3 linked regions of the Rattus norvegicus genome follow. The protein of the gene in region 2 interacts with the protein of the main gene of each other region in a biochemical or structural test. Links are inferred from orthologs where the notes say so. Each region holds a gene or a part of one and is shown on either strand. Other genes may lie near its edges. The genes, in order: Atf3, Ddit3 and Fos.

The links.
Region 1: the proteins of Ddit3 (region 2) and Atf3 form a complex in vitro, tested with the Homo sapiens proteins (2 studies listed by BioGRID and IntAct, with this or other methods). The link is inferred for Rattus norvegicus from reciprocal best matches to the Homo sapiens genes DDIT3 and ATF3.
Region 3: the proteins of Ddit3 (region 2) and Fos form a complex in vitro, tested with the Homo sapiens proteins (2 studies listed by BioGRID and IntAct, with this or other methods). The link is inferred for Rattus norvegicus from reciprocal best matches to the Homo sapiens genes DDIT3 and FOS.

What each region holds. Positions count from the first base shown.
Region 1 is NC_086031.1:105,292,285-105,298,525, forward strand, and holds the start of Atf3 (cyclic AMP-dependent transcription factor ATF-3), read right to left. Parts: upstream 3,461-6,241; 5' UTR 3,308-3,460; intron 1-3,307.
Region 2 is NC_086025.1:64,998,869-65,005,141, reverse strand, and holds the start of Ddit3 (DNA damage-inducible transcript 3 protein), read right to left. Parts: upstream 3,448-6,273; 5' UTR 3,413-3,447; coding exon of another isoform or gene 3,350-3,412; intron 855-3,349; coding exon of another isoform or gene 813-854; 5' UTR 807-812; intron 1-806. Other genes in the region: uncharacterized LOC128125814 homolog, read right to left, coding at 813-854, 3,350-3,412. UniProt on the Homo sapiens protein: Multifunctional transcription factor in endoplasmic reticulum (ER) stress response. Plays an essential role in the response to a wide variety of cell stresses and induces cell cycle arrest and apoptosis in response to ER stress.
Region 3 is NC_086024.1:110,849,776-110,856,177, reverse strand, and holds Fos (protein c-Fos), read right to left. Parts: upstream 3,991-6,402; 5' UTR 3,839-3,990; coding exon 3,698-3,838; intron 2,938-3,697; coding exon 2,686-2,937; intron 2,281-2,685; coding exon 2,173-2,280; intron 2,060-2,172; coding exon 1,418-2,059; 3' UTR 1,124-1,417; downstream 1-1,123. UniProt on the Homo sapiens protein: Nuclear phosphoprotein which forms a tight but non-covalently linked complex with the JUN/AP-1 transcription factor. In the heterodimer, FOS and JUN/AP-1 basic regions each seems to interact with symmetrical DNA half sites.

The sequences.
Region 1 (6,241 bases), on a different chromosome or scaffold from region 2:
CACTCTCCTTCCCCATTTTACTGGAAAACAGATCAGAGCTGCCACTGGCCTGGCCGTCCAATCTGTAGGACTGAATAGTTCATCTATACTTAACTGGTTTGAGCCATAGCAGTTGAGCATGTCCCTTTTAGCCACCCAGTTACGTTTATTAATGAGCCCTTTGAGGTTAAAGTCTGCTGTTTCGGACTTCCCCCAACAACATTCTTAGTGTAAATTCAGGAAGAAACCGAGGAATGTCGGTGGTGGTGGTGTGGAATGTTTTTGTGAAAAGCTGGGGGGGGGGGGTGGGGCTCACTTGGGGACACAATTGCATTGTAAAAGCCATTAAGAAAACTTTTCCCATCATCGTGGGGCATACTCTGCAAGATCTGGGCTCTTGTCCTTCCTGGTTTGTCTTGCACAGAGTTCTCCAGAGAGTCAGACTAGAAGTCAGGCTGTGTCCCTCCAGGGAAAGAAAGTTTAAAACTTCAGCTTGATTCCAGAAGCTGAGGCCCCAGAGAAGGGAGTGTTTGGGGGTTTGGGAATGAGCTGACTTAACTTTCTGCACTGATGATAAAACTCTCTTCCAGATTTGCTTCCAGATTCCACTTCTGTTTCATCACTACCAATCAGAAATTATGTCACATACGGTTGGCAATTTCGTCATTTTCAAGAAAATGAAACTTCCCTTATTTAGCTGGAAATTCGGCTCCTAGATTTTTATCTCCAAGTAGCTTATGATGGCTCTGAATTTTCACTTTTGATTTCCACTTCCTTCCACCCAGCTGTCTGCAAACCGTCCTGTAGTACTGGGGAATCAGTAGCTGCCTTCCTAACTCCACATCCTGTTCTTTTTCCTGTTTGAAGGCTGGAGGCAGAGGCTGCTTCAGGGTGGGATGAGACAGTATTCTCCAGTTCTATCTCTGGTCCCCACTAGTTGAGCATCCATTTACGAGCTGGATGCTTTCTGACCTTAGTTCCTATCTGAAAATTGTGATCAAGGTTGCCAATTCCCTCCCAGGGTTGTGTGTGTGTGTGGGGGGGGGACAACACATCACATGCACAAACATTAGAAAATCAGTATTCACATGTCCATTCTGACTCCACCTCCCCCCAGCCCCTCAGGGAACCTGATTAAGTTCAGTTCGGTTTAATTCTATTGATCAGGAATTGACTGGAACTATCAAGAATTTCAAGCTGGTGGTTGACCCCTGAGTTCCCAAGACACAGGGCGAATTACACCCCATTTGCTGACATCAGCACTCCTCCACTATAGTTGGATTGACAGAGACTGAGAGTTCTCACATAGAAAACCATTTCTCTCCTGAAGTTTCTGTGGCTTCCTGACTATGTCCCTCCTCCTGTGATGGGGAACCCCCGGTTGCCAGTTCCTTAAGGAATCACAGACTCCTGGAACATAGAATTATCTGGATCAAATCCCCATTTTGTCATTGAGTAAACTGAGGTCCTGGAAGGGGTAGCACTTGTCTAAACTCACAGAGATGGGTGTGGTCCGGTCCAGCCAAGCTGCTCACACCCACCCCTTGCTCGATTTGCACTACCACAAGGACCCAGCAGTTCAACAGATCAACCAAGTAAGCAATCATGGACAGAGCTGCCAGCCAGGTAGGCAACTATGGGCTGAAGAGTCCTGCACCCCCCCCCCAACCCCGTCATAGAAGAGGCTCTGACAGAATGGCTACAAGAAACGGGTGTGCCTGAGAAGGGATTTAGATAGCCACAGATGCTGGGCGATGTCTTCTTCACTCTGGACACCTGGTCAGCAGCCTCTGAACCCTCCAGATAGAAGCAACAGTAACCCCCACCCCAGCCTCAGCCCCACCCCCAAGCAAGAGCCTGTGTGTGGTAACACTATCCCATAGTAAACGCAACATGCAAAACATGTGCTCTCTTCTTCTCAGCACTTGGGGACTGGAGCTGGAAGATCTCCGTAAGCTCAAAGTAAGACCAGGTTACACGGGGAGACCTTGTCTCAAAAAAGTGGAACCAGGGGAGGGGAGAATAAACGTTTTAAATTATTGGACTTGGCAACTCCTTTAGTTTATAAGAAAGCTGGTGTGATGAAATCAAAGAAAATAAAATGGCTAGGAGGAAAACACAGAAATGGGAGTTGGGAATGAGAATGGGGTGGGAGCAGGGAAGCAACCCAATGGGAGAGAGTTAGGAGACAGAGATGCAGGAGAAGCCCCCATTCCTGCCCTGTCTCAGAGACCCGTTAGGAGAGCTGGGTGGGGAGCCCCCTCACTCAGCATTCCCCCCACCCCGACTCCTTTTATTTCAATTATTTCACTCGAGAAACAAATCTGTCAAAACCTGGCTATCTGAACCACGCAGCGCAGGCTCCCACACAGGCAGAGAGGTGTCAGGCATAGTGGCCTGTAATTTCAGCACTTGGGATGCTGAGGCAGGAGGATTGCCCGGAGTTTACGAGCAGTCTGGATTACAGAGTGAGACCCTGTCACAAGACAACTCCTCCCGGACCCCTCCCTCCAACAAGTACAAGTGGTCCCACACCCTGGTCCCTCCACCCGCTTGATCCGATTTCTTCGGCTCACTTCGAATACACCAAGAAATCCAAGGACCAGTTAAAAGTCAGCCAGAGCACAGCAATTCACAACAGCGAATGAGGCTGGAAGTGACGTCTCAAGCCCAGCCGACCGAAGTTAGCGGGTGCGGAGACCTCTCTGCCTTCAGCCCCGGGACAGCGCCACACCAGCGCTCGCCGCCTCCAAACTTATCCCGACTCACTTTCGCTCCCAGCCCTCTACGAGATCCTGCGGCCCGGAGCTCTGCTCCGCGGAGCGCAAGGCGACCTCCTGCGGCTGTGCGGACCTCCGACCGAGTGTTCCTTCTCCATTCATTTAGCTCCGTACCCGGAGCAGCGCTTCCACAAGCCAGGGCCACCACACCTCTCCGCGGACTCAGGAGGGACCCACTCCTACTCCAGAGCCCAGACACAAAGTGATGGACGGAGGAGAGGACCGCGACCCCCAGAGTGTGGGTCACCCCCGCGCACCAGCACCCACCACCCACCCAGAGGACCTCTCCTAGTTGCGAGCTGAGAGCGCGCGATCTCCTCCCAGGGCATCTTTCACGCCTCAAGTCAAAAGAGAAAGTTCGTTCTTTCACTTTACCAGAAACTTTTCCCCAGCCGGGAGCGGCGGCGGAGAAGAACAGCTCAGCCGAGCGACTGTGGTGCGGAAACTAGGGCTCGGGTCCCCAGTGGCACAAGGGTCCGGGGGATGGTCACCAGAGGGGAACTTAGGGTGGGGAGGGCAGCGCTCCTCGGCGTGGTTCTAATGCTCACCTCCAGTCTTCGCTCGGGGCGGCCAGGGTCCAGAGAGCGGCTAGAGGCGGGCTGTCTGTCCCGCCGGCAGGCGAGCGCCAAGGACTCTGCCGGAGCGCGGGTTGGTCGGTCGGCTCCGCCGGGGAAGCACCGTGCACCGCGCGTCTCGCTGAGTGAGACTGTGACTGGGAGCGCGTTGCATCACCCCTTTTAAAGCCCTCGCGCTGGCAGGGAGCCCGCTTAACTCCTGGTTACCAATCCCAGGCTGACGTAATGCTATTAATAGCTTCCAGGGAGAACTGGCCAGAGGAGGGGTGAAGGAGGGACGAGGGCGGGGCAAAAGGTGGGTGGAGACCGCGGACTTGGTGATGCAAGTGCGAGAAGGGGCGGTCACAGCGCGTCCTACGCGCCTCGCACGCCCGGGACACACACACCCGCCCGCCCTCTATCTCCATATCAGGCCGGGAGCCGCCCGGGCGCACCGCCAGATGTGCGTATTCGCCGCTGCGTGTTCCAGGCATGAGCCAATGGTGCCCAAGCCAGCGGCATGACTCCACCGCCCTGGCATCTCTCCCTCCGCTAGGTTGGGATGGGGGTGGGGGAGGGGTGCTGGGAGGCGGGTCCTGGCAGTGGCCCAGACTAGGTGAGGCTGGGAAGCGGGCACGACCTTTCTCTAAAATGCGTGGTCATTTTTCTAAAACTTCAGGAAAAGGCGCCTTCTCTGGCCAGCGGCCTAGCCTAAGGAGGAGGCGGGGAAGGGGTAGCGGAGACGATATCCCGCGTGAAGGAGGTACCCAAAGTTACACTCCGGTGAATCCACACGGTTACCGGCCCCTGTGACCTCCGCTGCCGCGGGCCCCCGCTCACAGCTGTGGGTTAACGTAGACATTCGGCGGCTTCGTGCTCCCACGCCCTGGCCGTGCACACGCAGGGGCCCCAGAACCCGCCAGGAACCCAAGGTGTCAGTGACCGGTCGCTGTCAGCTCATTTTTGTTTTTAATAACAACCACAAAACGTTTTTAAATGAACAGGGAATTCTCCGCGAAAGCAAGAGCTTAGAAAGGGGAAAGATTTGGAGAGATCAGAGGCCACCTAGCGCAGGGATAAGAAGGGGCTGGAAAAAGGCGGCTCGGCCAGTCCGGGAAAGAGGACGCTTTGATCTCTACGCGCCCAGCCTGGGCGGGGGTGGGGGTCCGCCTGGACGTCGGGAAATACTTAGAGAAAAACCGTCTCCAGGTTTCGAGTGTCTGTATGCAGGAACAGAGGGCTGTGCTAGGGACCCGGTGGCGGGGACTGAGCACGCACCGCTTAAAGCCGGAACACCGGGCCCTCTGTTCCCTAATCTGGTGGCTGGGAAGGCTGGGCGCGTACGGCTCGATTTCAGGCCAAGACCTCAGCAGACCTGGGTTTGAACCTCGAAAATAGTTTCCCGATTCTGATCCAGTGATTCCGACGGTCTGGGCTGAGCGCAAGACCCCGGACTGGTCCCCATAGCTCATCAAGGGTTAGACCTGCACACGGCTGCGGCCCAGTAGTCGCGCACCTGCCTGGGAGGCGTTCGTAGGCGCACACCGGGCTGGACGCCGAGGTGTAAAGGCAGAGGCACCTGCTAACACCTGCCTTTGAGAGGAAGGCGATCAGAAGGTCACAGGGTGGTAGTTTAGGGTGAGACGCAGAATTGTTCCGTGCTGCTGCCCCATAGCACCTGCCACCCGGACGGTTACGGAAAAGGTCGCACACGGTATTACGCCGTACCCAGAGACAGACACTTCGGGCAAAATCAAGTTCTCTGCACCCGGGTTCCTTCAGTCCAAGGCCGACTCTCGACCTTCACAGGCCCCTGCCCTCCATCCAGGGCCCCGGAATCTCTCTGTCCTTGTCCTCGCTGGAAGCCTGGGGTGGTTCCATCCCCGGGATTCCCTTTGATCCTGCCAGGATCTGACGGGATTGCAGCAGCGTCGCGCGGGAAGCGCCAGGCAAATGTTTTGCTTTGGTTTTTGCCTTGGTAACGCTCTCGGGGCCCCACCCTCCATCTCCCACGCCCACACCCTGCTCCACACCTCCACCGCCCGCCCTCCAGCCGACCTGCCCTAAGGTAAACCCGGGGCGTGTCGGCACAACCCCGAAGAATGCCAGGTGCCTAGAAATGAAAGTTGTTTGGGATCTCCTCGTACCTGCCCCATCTCTTTAACAGGCTGCCCTGGAGTAAATAAATAAACACCACTATCCAGTGTAACAGGGAGATGGGGGGGGGCACACGAACCCTGCCCCCAAGCCTCTGGGAACCTCTACAGAAATCCTTATTGTCTTACGGATTAAACCGGAGTTCTGCTAATACTCGAGCCAGATTTATGGAAGTGGGTCCTGTCTTCAAGTGGACAGCCTTGAGAACCCAAGCAGCAAGGCCAGCAGTTCCCTCAGAACCGTGAAGAGTAACGTGGACAGAAGTCCGCAGAGCTTTGTGGGCATCTGGTCATGACCGTGGTGCCCTCCCCCACGCCCGTCTCCCTGCTGTTCTAATCTTTAGCTTTCAGTCACCACGTCGCACCTAGATAGAAACTCTTAGTTGTTTACAGAGCTCCGAGTCCGACATCATCCCCTCCCTCTTACTGAAACCCTAAAAGCGATAAGATTCTCCAGGGAGAAGTCTGCCCACCCCCACCCCCTATAGGTTGGATGAACCGCCTATCCTAGGCAAACAAAAGTCACTTTCTGCCGGACTCAGTCCCCTAGGCTCCCAAGAGAATCATAAAGCGCCTGAGGAAAAAACGGGAAGGAAGAGCCCCAAGGTCTGGACCAAAGGAAGTTGTCAACATCTGAGTCTCCTCGCCTCCCACTTTACCCTGACTTAATGCCCCCAGTGTGCAGCGTGCGCAGTCGCCCATACGCACGGGTAGCGCCACGCAGAGGGGCAAGAAACATTCCCAGCGCCCAAATCGCTGCCCGACACAAAGG
Region 2 (6,273 bases):
AAATCAGTAAATGTCAATATTATTTAGTTATCTCTACTATTTTGTTTCAAGCTTTTAATTTGCATGTGTATACATGATCAGTGTTTGGGGCCAGAGGCTTTGGCTCTCCTGGAACTGGAGTTCCAGGCTATGTGAACCACCTGATGTGGCTGCAGGAAGCCTGATTTAGGTACAGCAGGAAGCAGCAAGCATGCATAACTGATAAGCTTTCTCTCCAGACTCTATTGCCAGTCTTCTTTTGTTGTTTGAGACAGGGTCTCTCTGTGTAGCCCTGCCTGTCCTAGAACTCATGCTGGCCTCAAACTCAAAGAGATCAACTCCCAAGTGCTGGGACTAAAGGTGTGCATCACTATACCTGACAGAACCTACCCTTTATTCAGAGGGATTTACTACAGATAACTTCAGGATCCTCTCAAGTTCTGAGATACAGGAATGAGCCACTGTGCCTGGCTATGCATACATATTACAGGATTACAGTAAAAGTATTCAACTCACTTGGGAACACTACTGGTAATTTCTAGGGGCAATTACCAAGCTATTTGTACTCCTTTTTTCTTGTGTGGGAAGCTTGAACTAAAGGTCCTTTGGGGTTAATCTTGGTGTGGACTGAGAATTGGGAAAACAAACCAGTTGCCATTTTTGAGGCTGACTTTGAGACAAGCCAGCTCTAAAACAACATTATGGGATCAGAGAAAGACATGGTCTGACAGCAAAAGCTGGTTCTGGTCAAGGCCTGGTCTAACTCTCATCCCAGCAAAGCAAGTTGAGCAGCATTAGGAGCTGACTGGGAGGGTGGCTAAGATTACCTGCTTTCAGGTGTGGTGGTGTATGAAGATGCACTTCCTTCTGGAACACTGTGGAGAAAGGGGAAGAAACAGGTCCTTTACCTCTAGCCTCTTACTGGTCTTTCTCTAGCTGGTTTCTTAATTTCTGTCATTGGATTTTGAGACAGTTTCTCTGTGAAGCCCGGGGCATCCTGGAATTCTGGAACTCAACTCTGTAGACCAGGCCACAGAGAGGCTCGTGTGTGTGTGTGTGTGTGTGTGTGTGTGTGTGTGTGTGTGTGTGTGTGTCCCTGAAGCCAAGGACAGGCATGCTTAACTTTATTTTTAGTTGCTGACATTTGTAGTCCTGATTACATAATAGCAAAGTCCTGGCCAACTAAGTTTTCTCTAAATCCAGATAGACCTCAGATCTGCCAAAGTGAGAACTAAAATACAGGGAAGAGAGATTTCAGCAGTATTTGCTTAAACTCCATTCCCATCCTAGCCTCCAGACCTGCCCTGGGATCTCCATCTCTTTTGGTTGTTGAGCAGGCATTCAGCTTACACAAAAGGCCTTTCCTACCAAGGGGGTACAGTTCTTACTAAATGGCAACTATAGGTGCCTAAAGCCAAACATTTGGTATCCTTAATTCCTCCCTTCTCAGATACCACAGCTCAGTCTAAAGCACTGGCAACTTCAATATTCTTTAGAAGTACCCAAAACCTAAATATTTCTCACTTTTTCTCATTATTTCCAGATGTAAACTTACCATGCATTATGCATTTCATTCCCTAGATTATTTTTGGAAGCCTTGAAATCTTTTTTTTTTTTTTTTTTTTTTTTTTTTTAGACAGGGTCTTGCTGTGTAGCTTTTGCTGTCCTGGAACTTACTTTGTAGACTAGCTGGCTTTGAACTCTGATCTACCTACCTTTCAAGTGCTGGGGTTAAAGGCATTTGCCATTATTTCCAGCTAAGATCTCCTGTTTCTATTCTTGTCTTTTTTATTTTCATGGCTGCGGGTTGACCTAGGGCCCTCTACATACTAGGCAAGCAGTCTACTATTGAGCTACACACTCAACCCTTTGTTTTTGTATTTATTTTGAGTTAGGATCTGACTATGCTGGCCTGGAGCTCAGAGCTCTGCCTGCTCCTACCTCTTTGAGTGTTGGAATTAAATGCATGGGGTCTTTCCCCAACCCTTTTAATTTAGGACATTCCTCTGCTCAGATCCCCCAATGGATTCCTGTTTCAGGACTGTTGAAAGACTAGCATCCTGAGAATGCTTGCAAGGCTCTACAGGACCTGCTACTTGAGTTTCCATTCACCACCCTCTCCTGCTTACTCTAGTCCAGCTCACTGCCCTGCTCCTAAGGATACTGGCACACTCATCTCAACCCTTCTGCTCCTTCTCTCCCTTCTATAAACCTCTTCCACATTACCTGCTTGGCTCACAGGCTTGCCTTCTTTCCATCTCACCCACCCACTGAGGCAATTCCTGAATGATAAAACCTCTAGCCACCATCCTGAACTATTTTTTCCCTGCTTCTGTTTTTCCCCCCTTTTGCTTTACATTGAAATGTAAGTTTTATTGAGAACAGTTTCGTCTTTTGCTTCTAATATACCCTGGATCCCCAAATGCTTGGCACATAGTGGGTGCTTATTAGGCATTTGTTAGGAACGAATAGAGAACAACTAAGCCCACTGAGCCCAAAGGCAGAGCTGAGCTGCCTGTCTCTGGGGACTGCAGACGCAATATTGCCCTGAGTGTTTCTCTGCAGGGTTGTCCTCTAGGGAAAACTCCTTGGTCTTCCAGTGTGTGGGACCTGGCTTTCATCAGCAGAGGAGCCCCAGGCCTGAGGGTGCAGAGACAAACAGTGGGCTGGCCTGATGCAACGGTTACAGAGATTAGTTGGGAGACAGGACTGAGGAAAGAAGCAGAGATCAGTCCTAAGAGAAGCAGAAGACCCTGGAGAGATCCCAAGTAATTTCCCATAGTTAAAGAGACCCAGGCTGCTCTCTTGTACGGAAACCCAGAAACCTCTGGGGAAAAGGGAAAAACCCATCTATGCTCCTCCCACCGGCACCCCCACTCGCAAAGATCTGTCAGTCTTTGAGTTGTCTTGAACGTTAGAGACAGCTACTAAAGTGGCCATGTTGGTGGTCCCTGAGGCGCTTCAGCTTGAAAGAGTTGGGGGGAATGAGGCTGGTGGAGAAGAGGTGCTAACAGCCGGAGTCCCCAACATTGGGGGGTGTGTCCTGTTGCCCCACCTTTCCTGCGAACCGCCTAGGCCTAAGATGGCCCGCAAATGGTCAGTACTGAGACAAATTTCCGAAGGCAACCGGAGTCCCTTTGCAGAGCAGGGACCAACCTGAGACAAGGGAACGGGAATGCAATCGCCCAAAGAGGTGGCCTGTAAGCACCATTCCCGAATCAGGAATTACCCGCCTTCACTCGCCCCTCAGTCTACAAACTCACAGTGGAAGGGGTGGGGCTACACCCTCAAGGACAGTTGCCTCTAACTTTGTGGAATAGCTATGTTGGCGAGGATGGGAAAGTAAGGGGTAGACGGAGTCAGTACTCGCCTCTCTCCTCAGGTTCCGGCTGTTATTTTGGCTCTGTCGCTGCCACCCGCTCATCTTCAACATGGTATGATCGACGTATTAGACTCAAGATACTGACCTCTGGAGCGGAGAGCGAGTATCTTTTATGCTATTCGGTCCCTCCTGGGGGGGGGTAGTGTCCAGGAGCCTACCAATCAGAAAGCGGCACGCTGGCACAGGCTCCGCCTCACCCCTCACGTCCGCCACTCAGGAGTCCCGTGGCCCCGCCTCCATCGCGCCCTCTGGCTCGAGAGTCTACGTTATCTCGGACCCGGAAGTGGCTTTGGGTCACGAGGCTTCGCAGAGGAGGTGAGTGAGTCATGCGCGCGCGCGGAGGAGAGTGCGGCGAGGGAGGGGATGACGTGGGGGGGGCGGAGGGGGAGCGGGGATGATGCAATGTTTGGCAACCGGTGTCCGCGCGCGCACGCGCAGGAGACGTCGATGGTGGTGGGAGGTGCTGGGGAGCGGGCGGGAGGGGGGGATGGGGGAGAGAGGAAAGAAGGCGGAGCGCCAGCTCACAGTGTCCAACGGCCCCAACGGCTGTCCTTCCTGAACTTGTCTGCCCACCTCCCATCACCTTTAACTTACTCCTCCATAAAAGACTCATTTTCCCTGGCCCCTCCCAACTAATGGGCACCGAGGCTCTTGAACCTCTTTAAAGTTTCCAATTTGTTCACCTGGATTGACATCTTCTGGAGTCTTTTAAGAGACCTCCTCCTCTTTTAGCCTTCTAACGCTTCCCAAAGACTGAGGTACTGGCATTTCCTTGGTAGTCCATCCGCTTCTCTCAGAAGGGCAGCTTTAACGTTTGTTTCAGAATCGTCCACTGCGTGCCAGAATTCAAGTTCTTTGTAGAGTGTAGCCTCCTGCCTACTTATCCTACCCCTGCTTTGTGTGATGCTCTTATGCCCTTCACTAAGCCCAATACCCACCCTTTTCCTTCTCCAAGATAGCAAGTCCTGTGACTCCCTGCTGATTAGCTGGCCTCATGCCTCTAGGTGTCTGGGTTCACGACCTAGAGACTGGGACGTGCATGCACTTGAGCGCATGATTGCCTGGACTGGGTCATTCTAGTTTAATTTGCCCAAGGAATCTACCGTACTCAGTTGTAAATTAAAGAATGATAGGTAAAGGTAAAAACAGCACTGTGAAGAAAACTTGAGTAAAAGTAAAAACATCTTGCAAAACCTATTTTTTGTGCCATGAAAACAGAGGCCATGTGGTGGCCTATTACATAGTCTGTCGTACACTCGGGAGGGGCAAGCCAGAGTTTGTCTAAGTAGAAACTGAACCAAGACCGGTTGCTATTGGATGGTGCGACAGTGACAGGTCCTTGGCCAGACTGCTCCTTCGCTCCAGACCTTCATTTCCCCTTCTGTTAGTAGAGGTTGGGGGTGGGCTGAACCAGATGGTCTCTCCTGGCCTAAAGACAGACCAGGTTGTCAGTGACAGGCAGAGGTCATGTGACTTGACAGGCTGAGGTCGTGTTGTGACATGTTGACCTGGAGAGGCGGGTCAAGTCTCTGCACACTACCCGGGAAGCCTTTGGGGCGGGGCAGGGCAAGTCGCGACTTTCATCTTTTAGGGCTGGCCCCTCCCGGACCTGACATTCCTGACTCCCCCAACAGATTGTGGCTTCGGAAGGGGCCCCTCCCGAGGGAGGATTGGGATTGGCCACCAGTGGCCTGGGAAGAGGCCCAGATCCTTCCGCGGAGGACGGGGGGGGGCCGCGTGGGGTGTTTGTTCTCTTGGGGATTAATGGGGGGTTGTGGGGGAGGGGTAGGCGCGCTCCCGCATGCGCACTGCGTCCCCTCCTGTTGGCTCGCTGCTGTCCGCTGGGCGGGGGCCCGGCCCCGCCCCTCTCCCGTCCGGGCAGCGGCGGCGGCGGCGGCGGCTGCGGCGGTGGCGGCGGCAGCGACGGCGGCGGCGGTAGCAGTCTGCGCGGTGCCTTCTGGGAACGGAATCCCCAGGGCTGCCCCTGGCCCCTATGGCGCATGCGCGGGAGGCCGCTCGGTGATCCGCGGCGGCGGCGGCGGCGGCGCTTCCTGCTAAGACCGGCCGGGGCCGTACCGGAGGCTCGGGCTCCACCGACCCACCTCCCACCCCCTCCCACTCACCCTCTGGGCCGCGACTGCGCAGGGCGGGGCCAGCCGAACCATGGGCCGCGGTGAGTGCGGGGCCCGGCCCCCCCGCCCCTCCCCCTCCCTTCTCTCTCCTCCCCTTCTGTCCCTACCCTCTGCCCCCTCCGCGTCCTTTCGGCCCCTTTTCCCGGCCCCATCCACAGCCCCGCACCCTCACCTGCCCCGCCGTTTCTCCCCCTCAGTGCCTGACTTCTGCCTTCCTGACCTCCCTCCCTTCAGTGCTTCGCCCACCCTCCACCCGCCCTCTCCCCAAGTTCCTTCCTACTTCGTGCGCCTGCCTTCCCCTCCTCCCCAAGCTGAAGGAAGCAGTCTGGGTGACAGGGCGCCTTGTTATGAGAGGGAAAGTTTGGAAGCCGTCAGTGTGCGGCGGGAGCGATGGTGAGGTTGGTGAGGGGTACTTGCAGGTCTAAGGGCCGTCCCTACATGTCAGGGAATGCTTCTTGTTAATTGGAAGCTAGTGGGGGATTATGAATCCCCTTTTCGTCGGCTTGAGAGGACCAGGAGCTTCTCAGGATCCTGGAGGAAGACAGAGCTCTGGTTTCAGCCTCCTTGGAGGTCCAAATGAATTAGATCCGAGATTGTTGGATGGAGTGGGCATAGGGGGATTTCATCTGGTACCACCCTGCCAGGCAGTTGGGCAATTGCTTGGTGACCTGTGGGGCAATCTGTACTTTTTATATGATCTTCCTGGGGGAGGGGACAGCAGTGGCCAGACACTGGGAAACTTCCTAGTGGCCTGGCATTATGGGAATTTGCCCACACTCC
Region 3 (6,402 bases), on a different chromosome or scaffold from region 2:
TCATGGGAATAAGATGCTAAACTTGCTGGTTGTCTGTAATAACCACCACTGTCAGGGTTGAGGCAAGAGGACTGCTGGGAGTTGGGAGGCTACCCTGGACCACCTAGCAAGATCCTATCTCCAACAATACCAAAATAATAATAATAATAATAATAATAATAATAACAACAACAACAACAACAATAATAATAATAATAATAATAATAATAATAATAAAGGAGAAAAGTTTGCATAGAGCTAGGCTCTGTTCAAAGGATCCCTTTCCCAGGAAAATCACTAAGGCGAAGATAGGCAAATACATTTAAGGATGCTCCCTCCAGAGAAGCAGGAAGGCACGTCAGCCTTGCACAAGCTGTTACAGGCAACTCTCAGCCCCCAGGGCAGGCAGGTAGAAAATCTTAGCAATGCAATATGAACACACATATCTGTAAAATACCCTGAACTAGCGTTTCCTCTGAGTGATAAGGGAACAGAGGGCGTGTCCCCCTCCAGGACCCACCCATCTTGACAAACTGGTCTCTCTCCAAGGCCTTCCCGAAACTTCCAAAACTCTCAGAATAAAAGAGCAACGAGGTGGTCGCATTCAACTTAAATGCTTTTATTGACAATGTCTTGGAACAATAAGCAAACAATGCTTAAAATTTTTTCATTCAAATTCACTTTCCACATGTCGAAAGACCTCAGGATAGAAAAAAATAAAATAAAAATATAAATATCTGAGAATCCATCTTAATAAATAAATTGAAAACACAATAAAACGTTTTCATGGAAAACTGTTAATGTCAGAACATTCAGACCACCTCAACAATGCATGATCAGTTACATGACAATGAACATGGACGCTGAAGAGCTACAGTACGTGGATATAGCGATTTATTTCTATCTACCGGAAAATAAAGTTCTATCTTTTCTTAGTTTAATATTGGTCATTTCTAAATTGGAACACACTATTGCCAGGAACACAGTAGGTATTGTTAAAATCAGCTGCACTAGATACAATCCGAAAAATATCCAGCACCAGGTTAATTCCAATAATGAACCCAACAGATTAGTTAATGCTATGAGAAGACTAAGGAGAAAGAGAAAAGAGACACAGACCCAGGCCTGGCTCACATGCTACTAACTACCAGCTCTCAGGTGTCACTACAAACAATACACTCCATGCGGTTGCTTTTGATTTTTTGTTTTGTTTTTTTTTTGTTTTGTTTTTTTGTTTTTTTGCTACATCTCCGGAAGAGGTGAGGACTGGAGTCCAGATGTGGATGCTTTCAAGTCCTTGAGGTCCACAGCCTGGTGTGTTTCACGCACAGATAAGGTCCTCCCTAGGTCTACGGGAACCCCTCGAGGGAAGACTTGTTTCTTCTCTCTGTAATGCACCAGCTCAGTCAGTGCCGGCTGCCCTGCCTTCTCTGACTGCTCACAGGGCTAGCAGTGTGGGCGAGCTCAGTGAGTCAGAGGAGGGCTCGTTGCTGCTGCTGCCCTTTCGGTGGGCAGCTGCGCAGCTAGGGAAGGAGTCAGCCTCGGGGTAGGTGAAGACAAAGGAAGACGTATAGGTAGTGCAGCTGGGAGTGCAGGTGACAACGGGAGTGCACAGGGGCTCCAGCTCTGTGACCATGGGCCCCATCCCCAGGGAACTGCTGTGCAGAGGCTCCCAGTCTGCTGCATAGAAGGAACCAGACAGGTCCACATCTGGCACAGAGCGGGCAGTCTCCGAGCCACTGGGCCTAGATGATGCCGGAAACAAGAAGTCATCAAAGGGTTCAGCCTTCAGCTCCATGTTGCTAATGTTCTTGACCGGCTCCAAGGATGGCTTGGGCTCAGGGTCATTGAGAAGAGGCAGGGTGAAGGCCTCCTCAGACTCTGGGGTGGTAGCCTCAGGCAGACCCCCAGTCAAGTCCAGGGAGGTCACAGACATCTCCTCTGGGAAGCCCAGGTCATTGGGGATCTTGCAGGCAGGTCGGTGGGCTGCCAAAATAAACTCCAGTTTTTCCTTCTCTTTCAGTAGATTGGCAATCTCGGTCTGCAACGCAGACTTCTCGTCTTCAAGTTGATCTGTCTCCTGCACAGAGATGTAAGAAAGCATAAGACACAGGTTTCCTCAAGGACCCTGACCCCATAGTCCCAACCTCCAACTTTAATAAAGTTTCAGGAGCAGCAGCTGGTTCAACCTACCGCTTGGAGCGTATCTGTCAGCTCCCTCCTCCGATTCCGGCACTTGGCTGCAGCCATCTTATTCCTTTCCCTTCGGATTCTCCGTTTCTCTTCCTCTTCAGGAGATAGCTATAAGAAAAGGACCAACATTCAATAAGGTGGTCTAGTGTCACCTCTGTTCAGTCACCCCAGTGAAACTGGCTCCTACAGCACCCGCACCTCTCACGGTGAAGCAGTTTTTCTAACCTGCAGTTGGCAGGCTGAGTGTGATTTGCATTTAAAGTGAGATCTTTAGGAGGGGAACAAAGAAGCTCCCAAGCTAGAGAATGTGGTTGGAAGCTGTCAGGGAAACTAGAGTATTTCTTGGGGCCAACTGTCAGTGTCTGACGAGGGTGGGAAAGGGCTGCAGCCACGGTCCCTGGTCAGGAAGTGCAGTCAGTAGCGTAGGGTTTCACCCACTCTGCCGTGTCGCCTGTGCGTCCGTCCCCCCCGCCCCCCCCCAACTCCCCGCGCAGGTCCAGAATCGCTACTCACCTGCTCTACTTTGCCCCTTCTGCCGATGCTCTGCGCTCTGCCGCCTGACATGGTCTTCACCACTCCCGCTCTGGCGTAAGCCCCGGTCGACGGGGTGGGGAGTCCGTAAGGATGGGGCGCTCTGGTCTGCGATGGGGCCACGGAGGAGACCAGAGTGGGCTGCACCAGCCACTGCAGGTCTGGGCTGGTGGAGATGGCTGTCACCGTGGGGATAAAGTTGGCACTAGAGACGGACAGATCTGCGCAAAAGTCCTGAAACAAAACAAAAAGAGGAAAGCGGAGGTGAGCGAGGAGGTTCCAGACACAGGTGGAGCAAGTGGCCCTAGTGTCGCATGAAGCAGGGAGAGAGAAGCATTCTGGTCAGAGACTGCTTGTGTCTTCCTGTATGCACTTCATCCGAGATAAAAAGGTCTCCCAATATCCTCTATCCTCCCCTGAATTCCGCAGCTCAGCCTTTCTCCTCCATCCTACTGCTGCGTTCCCGTTATCCCTTCAGCATCACTCGCTCGAAAGGGGGTTTGTTATAAATATCCCTGACGTCTGCGCTGACGCAGGCGCTGCTCCGGAGTCTCCAGAATGAACTCGCTTTTTATCAATGAAACTGCCTTACACACCGGCTCGCAGCACCCTCCTCCCTCCTCCCTTCTCCCTGCTCCAGGCTGCCCCGGGAGGGGGGATTGCCGCCGTTTGCCGCCTCCCAGGCTCTAGTTAGCGAGTCTTTGCTAGAGACTTGTTGGCCCCGGCTGATCTCAGAAACAAGTCACCGAGAGAAGAGCGCAGGACACTCAGAGTAAACCTGCCGCGCGGGAGGGGGGTCACTAAGTCTTAGTATGACAAGTGTGCACGCGCTCAGACAAGTCCTGGGTTCCCAGGCTAGGGCTGCTCTGACCGCGCCAGTCTCCCTCCGGAGCAAACAAGGAAGACCCCTACTCTTCCCTGACAGTCACACCCCAATGTGCCCTCCTCGGCGACCCCCAGCGCGGACCTGGCGACTGCACAAAGCCAAACTCACCTGTGTGTTGACAGGGGAGCCCATGCTGGAGAAGGAGTCGGCTGGGGAATGGTAGTAGGAAAGGCTGTCCCCGGCCGGGGAGGCGCTACTGCAGCGGGAGGATGACGCCTCGTAGTCCGCGTTGAAACCCGAGAACATCATGGTCGTGGTTTGGGCAAAGCTCGGCGAGGGGTCCAGGGGTAGACACTGGTGGGAGCTGCAGAGCAGAGCTGGGTGGGAGCGCGGTCACTGCTCGTTCGCGGCTCCGCCGGCTCTATCCAGTCTTCTCAGTTGCTAGCTGCAATCGCGGTTGGAGTAGTAGGCGCCTCAGCTGGCCGCTTTATAGAAGCGCTTGAATGGCTTACTACGTCATGAGCGGAACAGAGAAACTGGAGGGGGGAAAGCGCTCCCGAATGCCCTCTGCGGGCTCCCTGTCATCAACTCTACGCCCCAGGCTCTCAACCCCCGTCTCAGTCTGTAACTTTCACCTATGAGTGTTCACAATTGGGATCTTAGAAGGTCTCCTGGACCCTCCGCATGTAGGATTTCGGGGATGGTTCCCCCCAGGACAACAGGGACCGGCCGTGGAAACCTGCTGACGCAGATGTCCTAATATGGACATCCTGTGTAAAGGAGGGAGGGATTGACGGGAACAGCTCGCCGGCTGCAGCCAACTCTGAGGGTGCAGCGCAAGGGGGGAGCGGGGGCCGCGGCCGGGGGAGGGGAGGCGGGAAAGGCAGAGAAGGCGAGCGAACATTCGCACCTGATTCAATGTGTACTCTGTTCCCAGGGTCAGGGGATGAGACTGGGGGTCATCTCCTTTCCATTGTCCAGCAATCTGGAGCTTTTTAAAAAAGTCTCTGGTATTAGGAGAAGCAGGCACGCAGCCCTAAAGGCTCCAAGTCTCTGTTCCCAAAGGAAAGCTAGCCCACATCAGACCTCTCTCCGTCCCAAATCAGTGCAACATTAGGCCTGAGGTTGGAAGCAGTAAGTGAAGGATTCTAAGTAAGTATTCAATAACCCGCTTTACCTACAATACTGAGTTCATTCATACATTCGTGTTTTAAAGGACGACAGCACCCACTCCCCGACCCTTGGCCACTTAGAACAATCAGGGTGACTGTCCCGGGAGACACTGACGGATAAACATTGTGCAAAACCACCCTGCAAGGATGCCTGAAGGGGTCGTTTGCTCAGTTTTGAGCGGAGGCCAGAGGGCGAGTGAAGGCAGGGGTCTGCTCAGAATTACAAGTGAGGTGAGCTCCCGGGAAGAAGGCAATTCGGTGCACAGGGGAGGTGGGGACCTGAATCCGTGCAGCCTGGAAACTGCGCTTACAAGGAACCCGCAGCGGGTGATTTTCCAGTTCGGACTTGGGGAGGGGGGGATGGGGGAGGAGGGGAGGACGGACTGGAAGCACGGTTCCCAGCTGTGCAGAGATGTTGGCGTCTGCTTTGAGCACAGCTTTGAGTCTTGGAAGATGGAACTTTGGAGATGCCGGGTGCTTCGGTGTAGAACAAACACACCCCTACTTGCCCTCAGTCTCCTGTCCTTCAGCAGAGGACAAGCCGGGTTAGACTGACTGGGCTCGGCCCCAGAGCGCTGGTCACCTCTGGGAAAGGAAACCGCAGATCCTCGCAGAACTCATGTGTCCCCTCTTCTCCATTCTGTGGATCCCAAGGGTCAAACTAACTGGTGGGCATTCCGAGACGGACTAGAGAGGATTGGGGCAGCGGATGGATCTTCAGGGGCCCAAGAGGTGCAGAACCACAAACCTGCCCTGGGCCGCCGCACCCGGGAGCTAGGCGATTTTGCTATAGATAGTAACAGCGAAGCGGCTGTTTACAGCAACACAGCGCCGCCAGGGCCGTCTCCAGGCGACGCCGCGCGGCCGGGCTCACGGTCCGCCCATCCAGGCCACCCGCCCTCCCTGCTCCCCAAGAGCCGTGGCCTCCCTGGCCAGGCTGCGGCCGCTCCGCCGACTGACATCACCCTCGGGTTGGGGGGCCGATCCCGGCTGGCTCCTGCCTATGCGCTAGCCTCCATTCTTAGAGATCCAAACCCAGCAGGAGCGGGGAGGGCAGGGAGGCGGGGATTCGTGGAAATAGGCCACTTGCTATTTTTGCATTCCCTGTCACAGGCAGAGGTGAAAACAGAATTTCATCATTGTATGTCATTAGTTTATGTTGGTGTGAATTTAGGCGCTTTTTTTTCTCACTCGAAAGAGGGGGAAGGGAAAGAGGACAACATGATGTAGAAACACAGGCTTCGTATAGCCGGTCAATCCTGAAGCGATTTCATTGGCCTTCAGTTCTCTGTGAATTCTAGTCTGTCATGTGCTTTCACTGTTCTTTACTATGAAAGGAAGAGACAGAAAGATTATGCAGACCTCTTCCCTCTTATTAGTTTCGACAAAGTAGGTCAACCTTTGAATTCCTGGTTCTGTCTGGCCTTGCCTTCCACTCATAACCACATCTCAGGGGCTCTTGGAGAAAAACCACAGTGATTTGATTTTATTTCCTTTTCAGGTTTGAAGCAGCTCTGGCCAACACCTCAAAGATGTGTCAAGATTTTATATCCAGGATTTATCTCGTACATCACTTACTTTGGCAATTAAAAACGAAAAAAAAAAAAAAAAGGTCTTTGGGTGAGCCTTCTCCTCCAAATAGCTTGTCTTTTTTTCCTTCTTGGCATCATTATGGCCAGAGAGTTGGACATCTAATACATC